Linked DNA regions of Sus scrofa. The protein of the gene in region 4 interacts with the protein of the main gene of each other region in a biochemical or structural test. Links are inferred from orthologs where the notes say so. Each region holds a gene or a part of one and is shown on either strand. Other genes may lie near its edges. The genes, in order: CBX5, SIRT1, FBP1 and TRIM28.

What was found.
Region 1: the proteins of TRIM28 (region 4) and CBX5 form a complex in vitro, tested with the Homo sapiens proteins (6 studies listed by BioGRID, with this or other methods). The link is inferred for Sus scrofa from reciprocal best matches to the Homo sapiens genes TRIM28 and CBX5.
Region 2: of the proteins of TRIM28 (region 4) and SIRT1, one has a biochemical effect on the other in vitro, tested with the Homo sapiens proteins (2 studies listed by BioGRID). The link is inferred for Sus scrofa from reciprocal best matches to the Homo sapiens genes TRIM28 and SIRT1.
Region 3: the proteins of TRIM28 (region 4) and FBP1 form a complex in vitro, tested with the Homo sapiens proteins (2 studies listed by BioGRID). The link is inferred for Sus scrofa from reciprocal best matches to the Homo sapiens genes TRIM28 and FBP1.

Annotation. Positions count from the first base shown.
Region 1 is NC_010447.5:19,452,567-19,457,655, forward strand, and holds part of CBX5 (chromobox protein homolog 5), read right to left. Parts: intron 4,022-5,089; coding exon 3,921-4,021; intron 1,991-3,920; coding exon 1,840-1,990; 3' UTR 1-1,839. UniProt on the Homo sapiens protein: Component of heterochromatin that recognizes and binds histone H3 tails methylated at 'Lys-9' (H3K9me), leading to epigenetic repression. In contrast, it is excluded from chromatin when 'Tyr-41' of histone H3 is phosphorylated (H3Y41ph).
Region 2 is NC_010456.5:71,089,370-71,094,914, reverse strand, and holds the start of SIRT1 (NAD-dependent protein deacetylase sirtuin-1), read right to left. Parts: upstream 3,749-5,545; 5' UTR 3,734-3,748; coding exon 3,322-3,733; intron 1,349-3,321; coding exon 1,232-1,348; intron 1-1,231. UniProt on the Homo sapiens protein: NAD-dependent protein deacetylase that links transcriptional regulation directly to intracellular energetics and participates in the coordination of several separated cellular functions such as cell cycle, response to DNA damage, metabolism, apoptosis and autophagy.
Region 3 is NC_010452.4:27,612,071-27,617,159, reverse strand, and holds part of FBP1 (fructose-1,6-bisphosphatase 1), read right to left. Parts: intron 3,618-5,089; coding exon 3,477-3,617; intron 1-3,476. UniProt on the Homo sapiens protein: Catalyzes the hydrolysis of fructose 1,6-bisphosphate to fructose 6-phosphate in the presence of divalent cations, acting as a rate-limiting enzyme in gluconeogenesis. Plays a role in regulating glucose sensing and insulin secretion of pancreatic beta-cells.
Region 4 is NC_010448.4:63,098,177-63,102,091, reverse strand, and holds the end of TRIM28 (transcription intermediary factor 1-beta), read right to left. Parts: intron 3,806-3,915; coding exon 3,670-3,805; intron 3,594-3,669; coding exon 3,477-3,593; intron 3,394-3,476; coding exon 3,279-3,393; intron 3,148-3,278; coding exon 3,001-3,147; intron 2,912-3,000; coding exon 2,797-2,911; intron 2,703-2,796; coding exon 2,596-2,702; intron 2,510-2,595; coding exon 2,473-2,509; intron 2,396-2,472; coding exon of another isoform or gene 2,393-2,395; coding exon 2,347-2,392; intron 2,266-2,346; coding exon 2,013-2,265; intron 1,924-2,012; coding exon 1,402-1,923; intron 1,319-1,401; coding exon 1,232-1,318; intron 1,150-1,231; coding exon 1,012-1,149; intron 913-1,011; coding exon 736-912; 3' UTR 560-735; downstream 1-559. UniProt on the Homo sapiens protein: Nuclear corepressor for KRAB domain-containing zinc finger proteins (KRAB-ZFPs).

The DNA.
Region 1 (5,089 bases), on a different chromosome or scaffold from region 4:
CATGTCACGCAGCAACAGCTGTCTTCTCAACTGTGCAGTATAATTTTTGACGTAATTTATACGAGCACACAGAATTCAATCAGCAGCTGAGCAGGGAAGCAATGGTAACAAATGCTATGAATGGGTGTATGATTTGCATATCATTCAGCGCGTCTGTAGACTGGAGCAATCTCTCCATTCTCATTACTCTGAATAATCTAGAAATGACTGAACACTCCTGGCCAGACAGCTGTATGTTTTAAAAATCAAAAGCAACCCAAAAAACCACCTCAATGGCTGGTGAACTCTAGAGTTAAGGCTATTTCAAGCATTTGTTCATATTTCCTCAGCTTTGGGCTGGGACAAGGATGCTCAAAACCCTGCTATTTCCTTATTACTTTTAGTCTTGATTCTCTAGCCCCCTTCAATTATGAGGAAAAAAAGGGTAAAGAGAAGTAGGGCATTTCTTGGGGAACAAAGGCAGAAGGAGATAATCAGAAAAATAATCTCTACATATAAGGGCAGAGCAGGAAGAAGCCAAAAGAGAACTATCTTGCCAAGAAGGGAGAGGTTGTGTCAACATGCTAATTAATGCCGGGGCCTGTCACTCTCCAAGGTGATAATTTCCATAGAAATGCACTGAAAAAATAAGATACCACTACGAGTTTAAAGGTGGAAAAAAAGTAAGAGCACTAATACTTTGGGGACTCTTGGTGGCAAATCCAAGAGTCAACAAAGCAGGAAACTTATGATTATAGACACTATGAATATTTAAAATTGATATGGTGGCCAATGGCTCCCCTCCAAGAATTCCCCACTGAAAATAATGGCATGGAGGAGAAACGTGGGTCCACTGAGAAGTGAGGGTCAGGTTTGAAGCCTCTTTGGTAACAGGAATGCTTTGGGAGGCCACAAAAGTTGGCAGGGTTGGAGGGTGCCTAGCACCTTGGCACAAGCAAGCACCAGGCAGTCACTCACACCTACATAAATACATAGCCCAAATGGGAGGGGTGAAAGGAAATAATACATATGTACCACATGTGATAATAAAGACAACTGTATCCTACCCCACCATCCTCATGTACTAATAGCTAAAAATCTCCACAGTTAATAATTTTGTCATTTTATGACAGACTACACCAACTTGCAGAAGCAGAATCAGGGACAGCTAAGAAACAAGGCCAAGAGTCCTGGGGCTAAAAGGAGTGCCTTGACAAATCTGAATGTAAAATTTCAAGTCCTCCAAAGGATGGAGCTATTCTGGAGGATGGGTGAGGATGAACAACAGAGGGTGGCCCAGAAGACCACACCAGAAACCCTGTATTCTCCTGGGTAGAGCTGAATGAGGTTGGGGGAAGCCCCAACAGGTAGGCAGTTGCTATTGGCTTTTTCAAAAGATGGGCAACATCATTTCCATCCCAACATCTCAAAACAAAGGCTAGCTGGTCATCAACGTGTTCTAAGAGCCAAAGCAAGAAACCAAAATTCTTCATCAATGTAACAAAATCCCCCATCTAAAAAGCAACCAACCCTGAAGATCAAAACTCTAAAGTGATTAAAAAGTTAAAACTCATCTTGAGGTCACAGGGGAGCAGAAGGAAGAGAGCAGGGCAAAGGAAAAAACTGTGGGAATTACACACAGTATGTAAATGCCTGGTCTTCACAGAGAGACACTTATCATGAATCAGACCATCAGTTATGTTACAAGAGAACCAATACCAACATTTCTCCTGTGGAGCACAGTGATAAGCACATTTTTTATGGATGTGTTTAGGATAGAAGGGGGTGGGTAGAAGGGAGAGGAGGCAGGAAGGTGAATGTATTATGTACAAAGAGAAATGACAGAGACCACCCCCTCCTTTAGCTCTTTGCTGTTTCTTTCTCTTTGTTTTCCGCATCCTCAGGATATGCATGCCACGTCAGTCTCTCTTCATAAAATGCTATCACAATTTGTGGACATTTAACATTAGCTTCTTTTGCAAGAACCAGGTCTGCTTCATCTGTGTCTTTCCTGGAGAGAAAGAATTATGAGATTTAGAATGAGAGGAAAGGTGAGAGAGTGTCCAAACACAGGTTTATGTCATTAAATTATGATTTAGCTGACTTGATTTCTTCTCCATCTTGACTTCAAAGGGAAAAGGATCCTAACAGTCCCACATTTTCAAGGAGAAATTTAAGTAAATGAATCGAGTTAGTAAACATCATTCGACTACCACATCAGAAGACTTAAGCTAGAATAGATGGGAAACCTAGCAGGCTTAACCAAAAGGCTGAAAATTAAACTACTATATAAATTCTGCTCCCATAATTTTTATGTGTGGGTATGAGCATGTGAGCAAAGACACAATCAAACCTACATTCAGCCCTATTGATTAAGCATAAATTGCTCAATCCACTTTTTGGATCATCTGGATCATTGAAAGGTCCTAACTCTCCTCATCATGTGGCCTTTTATTTATTTATTTTTTGGCTTTTGCTCTTTAGGGCCACACCCGAGGCATATGGAAGTTCCCAGGCTAGGGGTCCAATCGGAGCTACAGCTGCCAGCCTACGCCACAGCCACGGTATCCAGGCAATGCAGTACACGAGCCGCGTCTGTGACCTACACCATGGCTCACGGCAACACCGGATCCTCAACCCACTGAGCGAGGCCAGGGATCAAACCCTCAACCTCTTGGTTACTAGTCAGATTCGTTTCTGCCCAGCCAGTAGGGGAATTCCTGCGTGACCTTTTAAACACTCATCCTTTTGGTCAGAACTGTGGATTAGAACAGTAAGAAAGTAGAAATTTCGGTCAGCAACAGTCCTTATAAAACAGAGTGAGGACGAATGTAAAATCTAGTCACTAAAATAAAATGTAGGCATTAAATGCAAATTTCAATTACAATATGAAAAAGAAATCCAGTAAGTTCCTTAACCAGAAATCCAAATCAAGAAAGAAAAAATTTTTAAATTAAAATCCCACCGAGATGTGAGCAAAGACAGCTAACCTCTTTCCTAGGAAACAGAGATGCTGAATTCATAGAGGTAAGCATTATGGATGAGAAGGGGGGTGGGGAGGGAAACACATCGCTAAGAGCAGCTACCCAAATTTGGACTGTGGTGGAAAAAGCTAGTTAACATGTGAATGTAAATCATAAGTACCACATATGGCTGAGTGGGAAAAGCAGTCAATACAGCTCCTTATGCAGACAGAGTATAGTGATTCTTCAAATACAGACTTCTGGGTAATTTACCAACAAAATTTCGATCAGATAAAATATTAAACCTCTTGACTATACAACTTCTAAGGTAATTAGCTTCCTTAGTGGCACTGTAGCATGAACTCTCTATTTAGAGACCAAACTTAAATTACAAGCCCAGAACACTTGGAAATAGAGAGGTAGTGAGGGCCACACTATAAATCACTCTGTCTTTAAGAAACCAAATTGAGGGGAAGTAACTATACTTTCCTCTAAGATCCATTCCCTCTACCGGATGAAATAATTTGTGCTTTGGCCAGTATTATTCTTAATGCTTTTTGTTGAGATTACTCTTCTCTTTTAGACATTATTGAGTGGTCTTGGTCCTCAGTGATGGCAGAAAGCCTCACTCAATTCCTATTCCATGGCCACAGGCTCGTGGTCTGATGGTAAATGATTCACAACTGTGTAAATTAAATGGTTAGGTCATGTTTATATGTTTCCTACCTCAAATCTACACATTAGTATGTGTGCTAATATATTATAATTTGGCTTAATACTAAAGCTTTCAAATGTCTTAAATCCATTCTGAACTATAATTCCCATTTAATACTGACAGTTGGTATCAGCTAAAAATTTAGCTCCCTGACGATCAAAATTCTTAATCAAAATTACTCAGTCTTCTCTCCCTATCTTCCGTACAAATTCAAGTCACTGGCAAAGAAACACAATTGCAGAGTGAGGCCCAATCTCTCTCACCATTTCATTAGGAACATTAAATCGCCACAGGAATCTGTCGCCCCAATGATCTTTTCTGGTTCCAATCCTCTCTCAAAGCCCCGAGCGATATCATTGCTCTGCTATAAATAGAAGATGAAGAAAGGTTACAGCTTGGAGATAACAGTCAAAAAACCTTCCCGTTTCTCAGCTCAACAAAGCACAACCTAAGTTAATATCACTAGATATCACTTTTGTCACCAATTCATAAAATTCTTAGGATCTAAATACAATACTGCATCAGCCAGTGACAGAGATATTTCTACAGGAAGTTGCAGCTGTCCTTCCAGTATTCCTTCAAAGGATTTGGAGTGGCCCCTAAAACTATTTAATATCCTTTAAAATATTCTGGAGTCATCATATAGAAAATCCTCTATCCCCTCATTTAATCTTGTTATTATAAATGGACTACTGCTAAATTGTTCCTTCTGGGTTGATAAACAAGTCCACAGGGGTTACCTGAAAGAAACCCTTTTTCATTTTATAAACTTCAAATATAAAACCTCTTAATCTTTATTTTTTTAGACTTTTAGTTCACCTAACACTGACCAATATTTTTAATACTTCTTTTCCCAGAGTCATCTATGCTTATGGAAGAACAGAGATAAGGATAATTCAAGGCATTATCATAAAACAGAAAATTTCTTTTCAGAGCTCACATACTGTAACACCCACACATTTGGGGAAGAGGCCCTGGTCTATGTCTATCCCTTCCTGAAGGGGATAGATCAATTGCATTAGAGAGCAGAACTGGGGACTTTCCTGGTAGTCTAGTGGTTAGGACGCACGCTTTCACTGCTGCAGCCCAGGTTCAATCTCTGGTCTGGGAATTGAGATCCCACATTAAGCTGCTGCTTGCTGCAGCCAAAAAAAGCCCCCCGAAAAAAACAAAAATAAAAAAAGAGAGCAGAACTAGACTGATAATTCTGTAAGGAATTATTCAGACTTGGTCAAACGATAATCACGCAGTCCAGACAAGGAGCATTAGAGTCTGATTCAGGTGTGCTGCCACTTGTGAGAGCAAAATGGTGAAATTTTATACAAACCAGGTAATTAAAAAAAACCTTTTTATGGAAGATAATGCAAGCTTATTTAGTGTCAATACAAAAAAAGATTTAGAAAGACTGCCCAATTGAACTAAATCTCTGATA
Region 2 (5,545 bases), on a different chromosome or scaffold from region 4:
CATACACCACAGCTCAGGGCAATGTCGGATGCTTAACCCACTGAACGAGGCCAGGGATCAAACCTGTGTCCTCATGGATGCTAGATGGGTTCATTAACCGCTGAGCCACAACAGGAACGCCAGTATATATTTTTTTAAATGAGAGTACATTAAGGAGTTCCTGTTGTGGCTCAGTGGTTAATAAACCCACCTAGCATCCATAAGGACACAGGTTCAATCCCCGGCCTCGCTCAGTGGGTTAAGGATCCAGTGTTACTGTGGTGTAGGTCAGCAGCTACAGCACCAATTTGAACCCTAGCCTGGGAACTTCCATATGCTGCACCTGCGGCCCTAAAAAAACAAGCCAACAACAACAAAAAAAAGCACATTAAGAAAAAGATCATTTTGAGATGGTCATGTTACTACTTAGGTATAAAAAACTGATGGTGTGCTCATCTTCAAGGTAGTTTCCCAATGCATCCAAATACTTAATAAATATTTACTAAGGACAAATTATGTGTCAACCACTCTTCCTGGCACTGACAAAACAGTATACAAATCAGTCAGAAATCCCTACCCCCATAGGACTTATATTCTAAAAACAGTCAATAAAAAAGTTACACGGAGAGACTGTTAATAAATAAGTGTTAAAAAGAAAAAAATACAGAAGGGCAATGAAGTAAGAAAGCAAGATACTCTAACCGGAAGAGATCCCTCTGTGGCACAAGAGAGCAGCAGTGTCTCTGGAGCATGGGACCCAGGTTCGATCGTGGCAACAGCATCAAACAACAGTTTTAAGGTAATGCCTAAAACAGAACAAATTTGGACCTCTCTTATGGCACAGTGTGTTAAGGATCTGATGTAGCCGAAGCTAGGATACAGGTCAAAATGGCAGCTGGGATCTCATCCCTGGCCTGAGGAACTCCATGTGGCCCCTGTCAGCCAGAAAAGATTATTTAAAAAAAAAAAAAAAAAAAAGACCATTTCACACAGAGGGCCCAAGTGTAAAGGCCCACAAGTGTGAGAAGGACCTGGTTATTTGAGAAATACCAGAGGTCAGCTTAGACAGGCCCATGCTATTTAGAAACAAAAGCAGTTCAAAGCTCTACCTTCCCTAGAAACAAGCTGATAGTAAATTTCGTTAAACACCTAAGAACCTCATCACCAGACCATAAGGGGACAGAGAATTTTATTTTTAGTTGACTTAAAAAGAAAATACTAAAAAAGATAGCTTAGGCTGTGAAAACCATACCTATCCGTGGTCTTGGAGTCCAGTCACTAGAACTGGCATGTGAGGCTCTATCATCCTCATCACTTTCACAAGAATGGAAACCATTGGTGACGATTTCATCACCAAACAGAAGGTTATCTGCAAAAGAAGCCAAAAGTAACTCAAGGCTGATGAAACAATCTACCATTTAAAATGTATGAATAAGAGAGTTCCTGTTATGGCACAGTTGGTTAAGAACCCAACTAATATCCATGAGCAGGTCGATCCCTGTCCTCCTCTGAGGGTTAAGGATCCAGAGTTGCAGTGAACTGTGGTGCAGGTCAAAGATGCAGCTCAGATCTGGCATTAGTGTGGCATCGGCTGGCAGCTGCAGCTCAGATTCGACCCCTGGCCTCGGAACTTCCATATGCTGCAAGTGCAGCCCTAAAAAATAAAATAAATAAATAAAATGTATGAAGAACTGTAATGATTATGATGTAAGAATTTCCAATGAATAAAGCACTTGGGAGTTACTACTGTGGGGCAATGGGTTAAGCCTGTACCTGCCTGGGTTGCTACTGAGATGCAGGTTGGATCCCTGTCCCAGTGCAGTGGGTTAAAGAATCCCATTCCGCTGCCTTAGTATAGGTCTCAGCTGTGGCTTGGATTCAGTCCCTAGCCTAGGAGCTCCCATAGGCCCAGGTTCGGTCATAAAATTTTTAAATAAACAAAGCACTTAACATTCACACTGAGTGTGTAAAGAATGCCTACTGAATCAGCTTGCATCATTCCCAGGAACAGTATATCCTCATCTTTAGGGATCCTGCCCAGAATCTAAGTTAGAGTTCATCAAAATTGAGCAAGAAATTAAGTCTACTTAAAAATACAAAAAGTAATAAATAACCTAGTTAATTGGAATTTGTCGATCACAAATAATAGAATTCAGGAGTTCCCGCTGTGGTGGAGTGGGTTAAGATCTCAAGTTGTCGCTGCAGTGGGGAGTGTTGGATCCCTGGCCCAGGAACTTCGACATGCTGCAGGTGCAGCCAAAAAACTCCAAAAAACTTATTCAAAGGTGGTGCAAATATAACTACGGCAACTTGCATATATGTACATGTAAAAATACATTTATAATACATAATACTAAACATACACTAAGATATTTGCACTATTCATTCCCACTATTAAACTGTTCCTTGAAAACAGGGGTCGTTTTTCCACTCCAGTCCCTAATGCACACGTCGTAAGCTTTACACAGGTCAAATGGCCCAGATTGTATTTACCAATAAAAGATTAATAAAAACACGTCTATCCAGCTAGAAAACATGACACACTCAAAGATGACGAGACATATACAACCATCATATACTGTATCTGCTTTAGTAGGTCAGAAAAGCGTCAACTCGTATTTCGGGGCTACATACACACACACAGACACTTAATCTAAAAACCACTATAAGAATATGATTTAGAGAAAAAACACTATTCACACAAAGTATTCTAAAACCTATTTCTCTCCTATGCCCTCTATTAACTGCACCAAAGTGATGCCTGTAGAAACAGCTATGCTCTTCAAATTTTGCAGGTTGTGACTTTAGAAACAGCTTTACTCTTTTAAATTTCAAAACAAGTTTATAAATAAAGGCCCTCAAAAACAACAACAAATTGCACAGGTGTCAGTTTGCAAAGTCAACTGCAAATGGTTGTTATCAGGGACAGTCAAAAGTTGCAGGTTTAACTGTGCGGGGCGAGGGGAGAAAGGGCGGAGAAGCAAAAAACACTTAACAAAAGCAATATGCTAAAAGAGTAGGAGGAAAGAGAAACTTATTTTAAAATCCACTGCGAGGCTCGCCAGCCCCGCGGCTGCGCAAAGCGCAAGGCCGCCGGGGCGGGCCTGGGACTGAGGGGAGGAGGGCGGGGAGAGGGCGAGGGAGGGATAGAGTCGACGGGCCGCTCCTGCAGCCAGGCCTGCAGCCGCGGAGGCGCGCAGCTGAGGGCCCTGGTTGGGAGGGGGACGCTACAAAGCCAGCCACGAGCCCCCAGCCTGCCCGAGACTCCCCCACCCCACATCAGGAGGGGCCCCGAGAGGAGGCGGGGGGATGCGCAGTCCCGGCCGCCCGCGCCCTGCGCACCTCGGTACCCAATAGCCGCCGCTGCCGCCGCCTCTTCCTCCTCCTCGCCCTCGTCGTCGTCGTCGTCGTCGTAGAAGTCGTCGGCCGGGGGCGCCTCCCGGGATAGGCCCTGTAAGCCCGGCCCATTGTTTCCTTCTCCTGCCGCCGCAGCCGCCTGGGCCTCCCGCTCCCCGCCCGCAGCGGTCTCCCGCCACAGCACCGCCGCCGCCGGGCAGCCGCCCGCCGCCGCCGGCAGCTCACGCTCCAAGGCCGCCCCACCAGGCTCGCCCGGGCTCCGCCCGACGCCCGGGCCGTCTCTCCGCGGTTTCTTGCGGAGCGGCTCCCCGGCGGGGGGCGACGGGGCCTCCCTCTCAGCCGCCACCGCCGAGGGGGAGCCGCCGGGCTGAAGGGCGAGCGCCGCCTCGTCCGCCATCTTTCAACTGCCTCTCTGGCCCTCCTCCCTCACCTCCTCTGCTCCCGCTCGACTCGCGGCACTGGCGCCCCCGCGGCTCCGGCTGCGGGAGATTTAAACCCCGTCACGTGACCCGCCCCTCCTCGCCCCCGCCCACCCGCAGCTCCCGCCACCCACGCGGGCCGGACCACAACACGGCGGGTCACGTGGCAAGCGGAGGCGGTGGGGGCCAGGAGCAAACGCTGCAGGGTGCTGTGGCCCCACCCCTCCGCTGCAGGCGCTTCTCTCAGCCAAACTTCTCTTTCAAGCTGTCCTCAAATCACTGCTGCCCGGTTAGCTCAAGTTTTGGTTTGCACTGCGAATTTCCACTTCTGCCTAAAGTGCACACCTTGCTCTCCTCACTTAGTCTTTTCTGGACTTAACGTTAAGGCTTAAAACTTAGTTCCTGAAAGGCGATAGGGAATGAAGCTGGCCAAATAAGCTAGGTGATGGGTCTGTTTTGTTAACCTGTATGAGTAGAGGCAAAAGGACACACACCTCACTCTTCACCCTCCTCAAACCGTTCTGGCGGGTACTCTTCAGCTCCTATTTTCTGCTTGCTTCTCTCCTTAGCCGGTTTATTTTTCTCCCTCTCTCCATTACTCAGAGGGTGATATACATTGTTAGACCATTAAAAGCATGTATCTGCCCTAGAAAGAGGTTTGACGGTGGGGGGCCGGGTAGGGATCAGCCTGTTCGATTTCAGGCCCCAACTTAGCTCCAAATGTGTGTGATTTATCTTTTCTGGGCTTCAAAATGAGTATATTGGGCCAAGTGGGGCCTCATGAGGAGAGCTGAACTGAGCATGACTTGGCCCTTATAAACATCGGTTTGGTTTCGAACTTGAGGTCTTTCTGATTGACCTTGAGCCATTTATTTAGCCTTTCTACACCCACTGTCCTAATCTCTGCAATGGTAGAGTTGTGCTGAGAATTAAGGTAGCGGGTTCTCTTGTGGCACAGTCTTGGGATCTAGCGTTGTTACTGCAGCGGCTTGGGTCAATCCCTGGCCCCAGAACTTCCACATGCAGCAGGTCAGGCTGGGAAAAAAAAATAGTTACATAAGATTGCTGGATATAAAGTGAGGGCTAAATAGAGCTAAAATATTAGTCCTGCCCTACTTGAAGGCCTTCTACTTTCCACTTTTCCTGACATTCCAGAACTCTTGTGACTTCATAGCCTACCTTAACTAAGGATGTGTTATAGTATGGCCAAGTTTGGTAGGCATCTGCCTCTGCAGCATGGCGTTTCTAGCCACTGAAGGGACCTCTCTGAATTTACAATAAATCAGCCCTTAAGCTTAAAGTGGGTCCTGCCTCTACCATGCCAATTACTTGTTTGAACTTAAGAAAGCAATCTAAGATGTTTCCTCCTTTAAAAAAAAAAGTTATAATTTCGAAAATGTATCTCCAATGTCCCATCTAAACCCAAATCTCTTTGTACCTCAAATTAAACTGAGACTCTCCCCTTACAAGTGGTTGCGTGGTTTCTGAAAGTGAGGCTGTCTTTCCTCCTAGAGGCCTTGAAATCATGATTGAGGTGTTCCTTCAGATTGATGCTCTCTAATCAATCAGTGACCAAATCCTGCTGTCCTTTCTTCCCTCCTATACACTTTCCAATTCCTAAGTACACAGGTATCTCGCCCTTCCTGGATGACATACTTAGCCCTGTTTTCTCCCCACTTTATCTATCTTACAAAATACTTCATAAATTGATTCTCAACTATGTGGGTAGGATATAATAAATAAAATGTTGAGGAGTTCACACTGTGACTCAGTGGTAAGGAACCCAACTA
Region 3 (5,089 bases), on a different chromosome or scaffold from region 4:
GTGAGCCGACAGAGACGGGGGCAGAACACTGCGTTTTGGCTCACAGCACATCTAACTTCCAACTTCCAGTGCCTTTGCTCACTGATCTGCAGAGGGCTTCTCAGAACGCAGCCTCCCACAAAGTCGCAGTGCTAAGCTGATGCCTTTAGGGCTTAGGTTCTTCAAAGGAGATTGGAATTTGGGAGGAAGCTGTCACATAACTCCTGTGGCTCTGGACCAGGAACTGTTTGGGGCTCTTAAGGGTCTCCAGTAAGAGGGTGACAGAGGATCTGCCCCCTGGCAAGAGTTCAGAAGGGAAGATCAACACATCTCTCCCCAGCCGTTTATCCCCATAACAAAGACCAGTTCCTGCCAATGTGGAGCGTGTTGGAGCTAGAAAGGAAGACAGGGAGCAAGAGTGGAGGGTTGGGAGAGAAAAGAGACTCGCATTAACGGTGATCACTGAAAGGTATCACTGTGACTGGTTCATTTATTTTTATTTTTTTGGTAAAAGTCCAAAAAAACGAAGTCATCACACAGTAGATGCTCATGAAGCCATGCTTTGCAGATGCCCTGCCCTGGGAGCTGGCCAGAGCATCCCAGCTGTGAAGGAGCTTAGCTCTCTGATACAGAGACATGGGAGACTGAGAAGCTTTTCATATATGAAAGCACGTGAGAAATGCAAATAAAGCTGTTGTCGTCTTTTCAGCAGAAACTGAAAGCCAAGATGAAAAGAAAACGGAGTTCCTGCTGTGGCACAGTGGGTTAAGAATACAACTGCAGCCGCTCAGGTCACGACAGAGGCATGGGTTTGATTCCCGCCTGGTGCAGTGGGTTAAAGGATCCAGCACTGCTGCTGTGTAGGTTGTAGCTGCAGCTCCCATTCAATCCCTGGCCTGGGGACTTGTGTATGCTGTGGTTGCAGCCATAAAAAAAGAAAGGAAACAAAAAGAAACAGAAGGGAAGGAAAGGAACGAGGCTCAGTGGTAAATGAACCTGACTAATATCCATGAGGATGCGGGTTCAGTCCCTGGCTTCACTCAGTGGGTTAAGGATTCGGCATTGCTATGAGCTGTAGAGTAGGTCACAGATGCAGTTTGGATTCTGGGTTGCTGTGGTTGTGGTGTAAGCCAACAGCTATGGCTCCAATTTGACCCCTAGTCTGGGAACTTCCATATGCCGCAAATGTAGCCCTAAAAAGAGACAAAAAAAAAAAAAAAAGAAGAGAAAGTAAGAGAGAAGAAGAGAAAAGAAAAGGAAGCTCTAAGCTGATGCAAGGCTCGCCCCCTTTCCTCCCTGCAGGCATCAGGAGCCAAGGGTGCCTCAGATCCGGGGAGGGCAGGCAGCCATCAAGGAGTATTACAGGCACCCTGCATGGTTCTCCCAAACACCGAGGGGCCATCAGCTGTGAGGAGGGCAAGAGACTATGAAACACGCGGAGACTTGCTCTCAGAGACAAAGTCTGCGATCTGGAAACAAGAAGAGATTTAATGTGTCCTCCACATCCATCAACTCAAAGCCAAGAGAGAAGTGACCAGAAATCCGCAGACATCAGTGCTTTTGGAAACTGCACCCTGGGCTCAGCGTGAACTTTGCTCCAGTTCCGCCACTGTTTTCCCCTGAGATCAATCACCTCCTCGGGAGGCTGGTGCTGTTTCCCTACTCTTGTTTATTTATTAAGCATTGGTACTTCCAGTGCTAAGGAGGCAAAGTCCACTTGTGCAAGAGTGCAGGGGACAAAGATGCCTACATCCTGACGTACAGGACCTGCCAGCCACAGACCCGAGGCCTCACCACCAGCAAACTGCCCCTCACAAGATTCTGGCGGCTGTTGGTACCCGGTGTTCGGTTTGTCAGCAAAAAGCACCAAATCCATAATGGATTCCATTCGTGTCATCTGAGGACGATTCTAAAACTGAAAGATATTTATAGGAGTTCCTGTCTTGGTGCAGCGGAAACGAATCCAACTAGGAACCATGAGGTTGTGGGTTCGATCCCTGGCCTCGCTCAGTAGGTTAAGGATCCAGTGTTGCCGCGAGCTGTGGTGTAGGCCAGCAGCTGTAACTCCAATTTGACCCCTAGCCTGGGAACCTCCATATGCCATGAGGTCAGCCCTAAAAAGCAAAAAAAAAAAACAAAAAAACAAAAACAAAAACAAAAACCACAAAACCTGAAAGGTATTTATAAACCCAATTCTTTTTCTCTTGGGACACTGGACCCAATGCATAATAAATGTGTCAACCTCTTGGAGATGAGTCTATGGAATCCCTCTCAATGGTAGGTTTAGTTGGGCCAAAGATTTAAAGAGATTTCTTTGGTCAGTTTAGCTGCTTGGCTGAAAATGTCCATGAACAGAATAAATGAACAACTCCAATTGATTGACATGTGGAAGAAATTACCCACAAGTTAAAACGGTTCATGTATATTTTTCATGGCACCTTGGGCTCCTTTCCCATAATGGAGCTTTTCTCTCTAAGGTGGACTAAGGAATTAGCTTCATTTCCTTCTTTATTTTCAATTCCTTGGGTTCGTCAAAGCCTTCTCAAAACCACAAGGGTTCACTGAAGGTGTGAGCACACGTGTAGGACCTTAGATGAATCTGGGAGCTAATTCTGAAGAAACGCGGCAGTTCACTGCATCCGTTGGGACCCCCGTTCAGCTCAGGCAAAGATGCTGGTAATGGATAGAGTAGGTGGCAAGCAGACCCGCCTCGGGCCCCATCTGGTCCATAAATGTATTTTAGTTGGCTCGCACAGTGTTGTACAAATCCAGAAACACTACGTTTTCTAAAAAATCCAGTGTTTGTTGAAACCCTGGAAGCCTTGGCAGGATGGAGCCACTATTCGTAAGGAGTAACAACGGCTGGACATCCCCAGGTCCCCAGCACCCCACCATTACCCCACCACCGCCTGGCTGTCTTTCCCCAGCAGACGCCACTCATTTTCATGGCCTGCCTGGCCCTGTGGGCATCTGAGTCGGCCAAGTAATGTCTGCTCTGAAGAATTCATCTTGGGAGTTCCCGTGTGGCTCAGTGGTTAATGAACCTGACGAGGTCCCATGAGAATGCAGGTTCGTTCCCTGGCCTCGATCCGTGGGTTCAGGATCCAGCATTGCCATGAGCTGTGGTGTAGATCGCAGACCAGCTCGGATCTTGTGTTGCTGTGGCTGTGGTGTAGGCCAGCAGCTGTACCTCTGATTTGACCCCTAGCCTGGGAACTTCCATGTGCCACGAGTGCGGCCCTAAAGAGCAAAAAAAAAAAATCTTCTTGGAACAAAGACTTCCCCCATGCTCTGGACAGACATCCTGCCTCACCTTGATAACCCTTTCATCATGTATATGTTGTCCCTCCATCTCCCCCCCAACCCCTCACCCCATCATCTCTGTCCCTCCAGGGGGTTCATCTTGCACCTCTAGGTACCCCCCCCCACCAAGACACACAACAGACACTCACGGCCGCCAGCCAAGCAAGCACCTAACATCCCCCAGGGTCTCTCACCGGGTCCAGCATGAAGCAATTGACTCCATTCACCATGGCCAGGACCAACATGGTGGCACTGCCATAGAGCGCATAGCCAGCTGCCACCAGGTTCCGGCCTGGCTGCAGTGCGTCCTTCTCAGAAGGTTCATCAGTTGAATTCTGGGGCAAGAAAGAAAATAAAACACGTCTTTGGTTTGGTTCTGGTCTGTTTGGTGGGTTCTCTTTTCCCGTTCACACACTAGCAAGATGCGTTAGCAAGGTGCTCTCCCCATGAAAGAGGGCATCTTCCCGGAGGGGGGCCTTCTTCCACACGTCAGTAATATCCTGATTATATTACCACAGCAGCATTCCCAACAACCCCCTGCATCTGGAGCCTTCTCGCCAATCAGAGTCCTCCTCCAATTTTATTAATTTGATAGTCCTTCATTTCGCCATTATCACTTTCAGAAAAGAACGTGCCTCCTGGCCAGCGCCCACTAATTTAATCTGATTACAGGCATCAATGCCTTCCCCCTGCCTACTCCATCTTTATTTAAACAAATTAAGCCTGGGCTGCAGGGCTATGAGTCTGGTGAGGAAATCAATTTCATGAGCTCCTGCCAGTTGCAGCATATACTCCAGTGAGCCGTGTGGTCCATACTCCCTCATCAAAGAGATTCTCAGAAATACAGCAATGGAGACCACTTCTCCAAAGTCATTACCATGTAGGGCAAACACTTTCCATTTTGGGGGACCATGACCTACAATAAAAAGTACATTTTTTTTTTTGTCTTTTCTAGGATTGCACCCGCGACATATGGAGGTTCCCAGGCTAGGGGTCTAATCGGAGCTGCAGTCACCAGCCTATGCCAGAGCCACAGCAACACCAGATCCAAGCCGAGTCTGCAACCTACATCACAGCTCATGGCAACGCCAGATCCTTAACCCACTGAGTGAGGCCAGGGAAAGAACCCGCAACCTCATGGTCCCCAGTTGGATTCGTTAACCACTGAGGCACGACAGGAACTCCAAAAAATACATTTTAGGAGTTACCATCGTGGCTCAGTGGAAACGAATCTGACCAGCATCCATGAGGACGCAGAGTCGATCCCTGGCCTTGCTCAGTGCCTTAAGGATCCGGTATTGCCATGAGGTGTGGTGTAGGTAACAGACGTGGGTCAGATCTGGTGTTGCTATAGGCCAGCAGCTACAGCTCCAATTCGACCCCTAGCCTGGGAACCTCCATATGCCGCAGGTGATATGATACATTCTCATTTGCAACATCCTTTAAAGATATCCAGACCCCACAGCTAAAAGCAGGGTTTCGGAAGTGCTCTAGCAGCTTCAGAATCCAATTTGCTTCCCTTAACTGGACACAGGGATACTTAATAACAGACATATAGAATGTGGTTTCTGAAGCTGAAACTTCCTAGCTCTGTGGGACCCTGGGCAAGTTAACCTCTTGTTTCTTTATCTTAAAGGAGAGGTACTGAAAATTAAGCATCATGCAATGAAAATAGGGCCTGGCATATAAAAAGGACTCAACAAATAGTAGCTATTAATATTACTTATCTTGTGTATTAAGATTCAATAGACAGGAGTTCCTGCCATGGTGCAGCGGAAACAAATCCAACTAGGAACCATGAGGTTGC
Region 4 (3,915 bases):
CGTCGTCACGTGCACCAGAGCAACCAAGGGTAGGGACGGGGTGGGCTGGGTTCTCCGCTGGTCTGGGCGGAGCTGCACAGGCCAAGTCCTCTCAGGTTTTCAAGGCTTGCGAGGTAAAGGTCAGCTGTGAATAATGGCCCGGCACCCCTTCTGTCTCCAAAGGCCTAACACTAGCACCCTGAGGTGGGAGGCGCTGCAGATACCCTGACACAACCCTAAGACCCAAGCCTGGCTGGACCCCAGGTATAGTGTCTGGCTCAGCTTAGCCCAGCAGCAGTCTCAGCCTGCCCAGGTCACTGACAGAGAAAGGAAGCACTGGCAAGGGCCACAGGCCAGCCTGGGTCTGCCTACCTGCCCCGGGACCATCCTCTCCACCAAGGCAGCCCCCACACTAGGAAGGGCCCAGGAGGAAAGGGGGTTTTTCCCCACCTCTTAGACAGAAGGGGTGGCATGGCTGGCAACGAGAACCCCACCCCTAACTGGCTTGTCAGGGCTTTGGGAGAAAGGATATATAGAGACCAGGCCCCCAGGACCACTGCCCCACCAAACAAAACCTAAGTAACTGGTGAAGTTTTTATTAAATCCACAGAAGTAAAAACCATATTGTGAAGGGCTGGGGTATGGGCCACCAAGGAGTGGAACCAGGCCACCGGAGGGAAGAGGAACAGGAGCGGGAAGAGGGGTGACAGGACAGAGAACAGAACCAGGCTGGGCCAGCTTGGGGGCTGCCCAGCCTCAGGGGCCATCACCGGGGCCACTGGATAGGTCCTGGGCACTCAGGCCAGCACCCGGCAGGCTCAGTGGCGGAGGCTCCACCAGCACAGCAGAGAACTTGGTGTCACCAAAGGCCTCGTTCATGCGAGTCTCAAAGAAGCGCTGCAGGCCAATGATGGACTGCACGTCGGCCTTATCCTGCCAGGCAGACGACAGTGGACGGATGGGTCCTCGTCCTCCCGCCGCCCTGCCATCGGCCCCCTCTCCCCAACACGCGCCCCCGCCCCAACGGCTCACCTCCGTCAGCTTGTTGAACTGCTTGAACATGCGGCCCACGTCCTGGGCAAACTCCTGGGGGGAGCTGTAGGGAGGTGACAACTTCTCCTGGAGACGGGCTCGGATCAGGGTCAAGTCCAGGGTGCCGCCAGGCTGATCCTGCAGGGAGAAGCCCCGGGGGGGAAGGTGAGGCCAAGCAGCCCCCGCGCCTCCCTCTCATCCTCCGAAGTCCCAAACTCACCAGAGAGAATGTGGAGTCGGTAGCCAGTTGGTGCAGGGGCCTACAGGGCTCATGGCAGAAGAGGGCCAGGAGGACGCGCTCACACTTCTGTGGATGTTACATGGACACCAGAACATCAAGGGGGAGTGGGGGCTGCTGGCCAAACCAAGGGAGTGGGCCCCCACCCTCACCTGTTGGTTGGCTGGCGAGAGCTTGGCCACCACGCCAGTGCTGTCTCCACCGTCAAGGTTCAGGCTGCCATCCTCCTCCTTCAGGTCAGGGAGCACATGGCAGAGCGAGCAGCTCCACTCCTCCCTGGGGGGAACAGAGAATGAGGGGCTGCAAAGGACCCAGCCCAGCCCTCCACCCTGCAGACCCCACGTAGCCTCGCACCCTGGCACATCCTGCAGGGCAGGCAGGTGGCAATCCAGGTGGAAGCAGAACTCGCACTGGTTGCACATGACCAGGTCACCTGGTTTCTGGCAGACACGGCAGATGGTGGCACTGTCATCCAGGGCACCTGGGCCACCCGCTGGGGCTGAGGTGCCCTCTGGAGCCACCACCTCCAAGCCTGAGCTGGTGCTGCCACTGGGTGAGGCCAGGCGGGGGCCCTCGGCACCAGGGCCCTCCGCCAGGGCCATCAGCACAGGCTTGGTCTCCTGGCCCTCAGTGGCAGCAGGCGGAGCGCCAATGGCAGCCTCTGTTTCTTCCTCCTGCAAGGATGCGGGATGTTCAGCGACGTGCCAGCCTGGGCAGCTGATGGCATCCCTTCCCCAGCCAAGAATACGGAGGGCAGGCTCACCTTGACGATGGCCATGCCAGGCAGGGGCGGGGCCCCAGGAGCCCCAGGGGCTGCAGTCCCAGGTTGTCCAGCAGCAGCAGCTGCAGCGCCTCGCTCGATGACAATGAGGTTGTAGTCCTCCGTGGTGCTGCCTGGGAAGACCTTGAAGACTGGCGGCTGGCTGTCAGCGGTGAGATCCAAGTCCAGGCGTTCGAGGCTCACCCGTGGCACCTTGCGCATGAGGCCGCTCACCTCGCCGTCACCTGAGCGGGACCTGTGGGTGGGGCTTGGCGTGAGTACACGTGTGCTTGTGACCCTTCCATCCCTCTGGTCACCAAAGGATGGCCACACTCACCGCTTTACCCCGGACACGTGGGGCTCGGCACTCGAGTAGGGGTCGTCTGCTTGGACACAAAAGGAGAAGGTGGGGTGGACACAGAACAGCGGAGCTCACCCTCCCACCGGGCACAGACCCACTCACCTGATCCAAAGCCATAGCCTTCCTGCACCTCCATGGGCTGTGGGCAAAGCAGGGAACCTCAGTGGGAAGGCGCCACACAGGACCCCACGCCCCTCTCCTCTCCCGATCCCTTCCCCTGCTCACCTGGCTGCTGCCAGAGGTCTGCTTGCTCAAAGGTCCTGGAGCCCGAGGAGGGGCCATGGGTGCAGGGCCAGTGGAGTTGGTGCCAGGACGTTCTGCCACGATCTTGCCTGCAGTTACGGAGATACAACAAGCCTAAGACGACACCACGACACCGCTGGCTGGGATGACCAAGAGCAGCAAGGGCAAAACAAAACCTCTCACCGAAGGCCTCTGCACTCTTGGTCCAGGCATTGAGATCCCACTGGAACTTCATCTCGCCATGTGGCTCCACAGGGTCCACAATCATCTTGAGGGCCCGGTGCAGCTGGAAGTAGATCTGGGGTGGGGGCACACGAGCACACGGGCAGTCAAGAGGGCCCCGCGGTCCTGGGAGGCCCCCACCTGGAACCCAACACCAGCACACACCAGCTTTTTGGAGAGGAGCAGGGCTGTGTTGTTGTCACTCTCCAGAGCCCAGGAGGCAAAGCGCAGAATGTGTTCCTGGTGTTTCTGGATCTTAGTCATGGTCCAGTGCTGGCGCTCCAGGCGCTCCTGCTGGCCCTCAGTCACCTTCTGCAGGTGGAGGCGGAATGGGGGTCGGGGAAGGAGCAGAGCACAACTTCCACCCGCCACCGACTGGCAGTGGCAGCCTCCCACCACAGGCGGGGGGAGCAGGCGGCAGAGGAGGACCGCCCAGGCTGTACCTGGGCGTCGTTGACCAGCACGCGGCCCCGCTTGTTCAGCTCCTTCATGATCTGCAGGATGGCCATCTTGACATCCACCTGCACGCGCTTCTGCACATCAGACACCTGGCGGATCCTGGGGGCCGAGCGGGTCAGTCAGGCCCAGTGCGGCCGGTGCTCACCCAGGGACCGCCCCACAGCCCTGGCATCCACACTTACGAGCTGCGAACCTCCTTGGTGTTCTTCTGCAACGTCGCATGCTTGTCCCCGAGGCGCTTCACCAGTGAGGCCAGGAGCTTTCGCTGGTTCCTCACTGCATCCTCCAGGAACTGGTACCTAAGGGCAGACAAAGGTGGGCCGGGCGCCCAGCACAGAAACAGGCAGCACCCCCTCACCACGCCTCAGGACTCACTGGTGGTCCTTGTGGGCGTTGAGCTGGCAGTCCCGGCAGGTGAGGGTGTCGCAGCTCTCGCAGAACAGCACGAGGGGCTCGTGCTTGTGCACGCTGCAGTATACCGTGCGCTCACCGTCCCTCGACTTGGCTGGTCCTGGGGGAGGGAACCATCAAGCTGGAGCTCATCCTCAGCCACCTCCAACCCCAGCAGTAGGTGGAGCTAAAGGCCCCACCTCCTGCCTGTCCTGCAAGCCTGGACCAGCA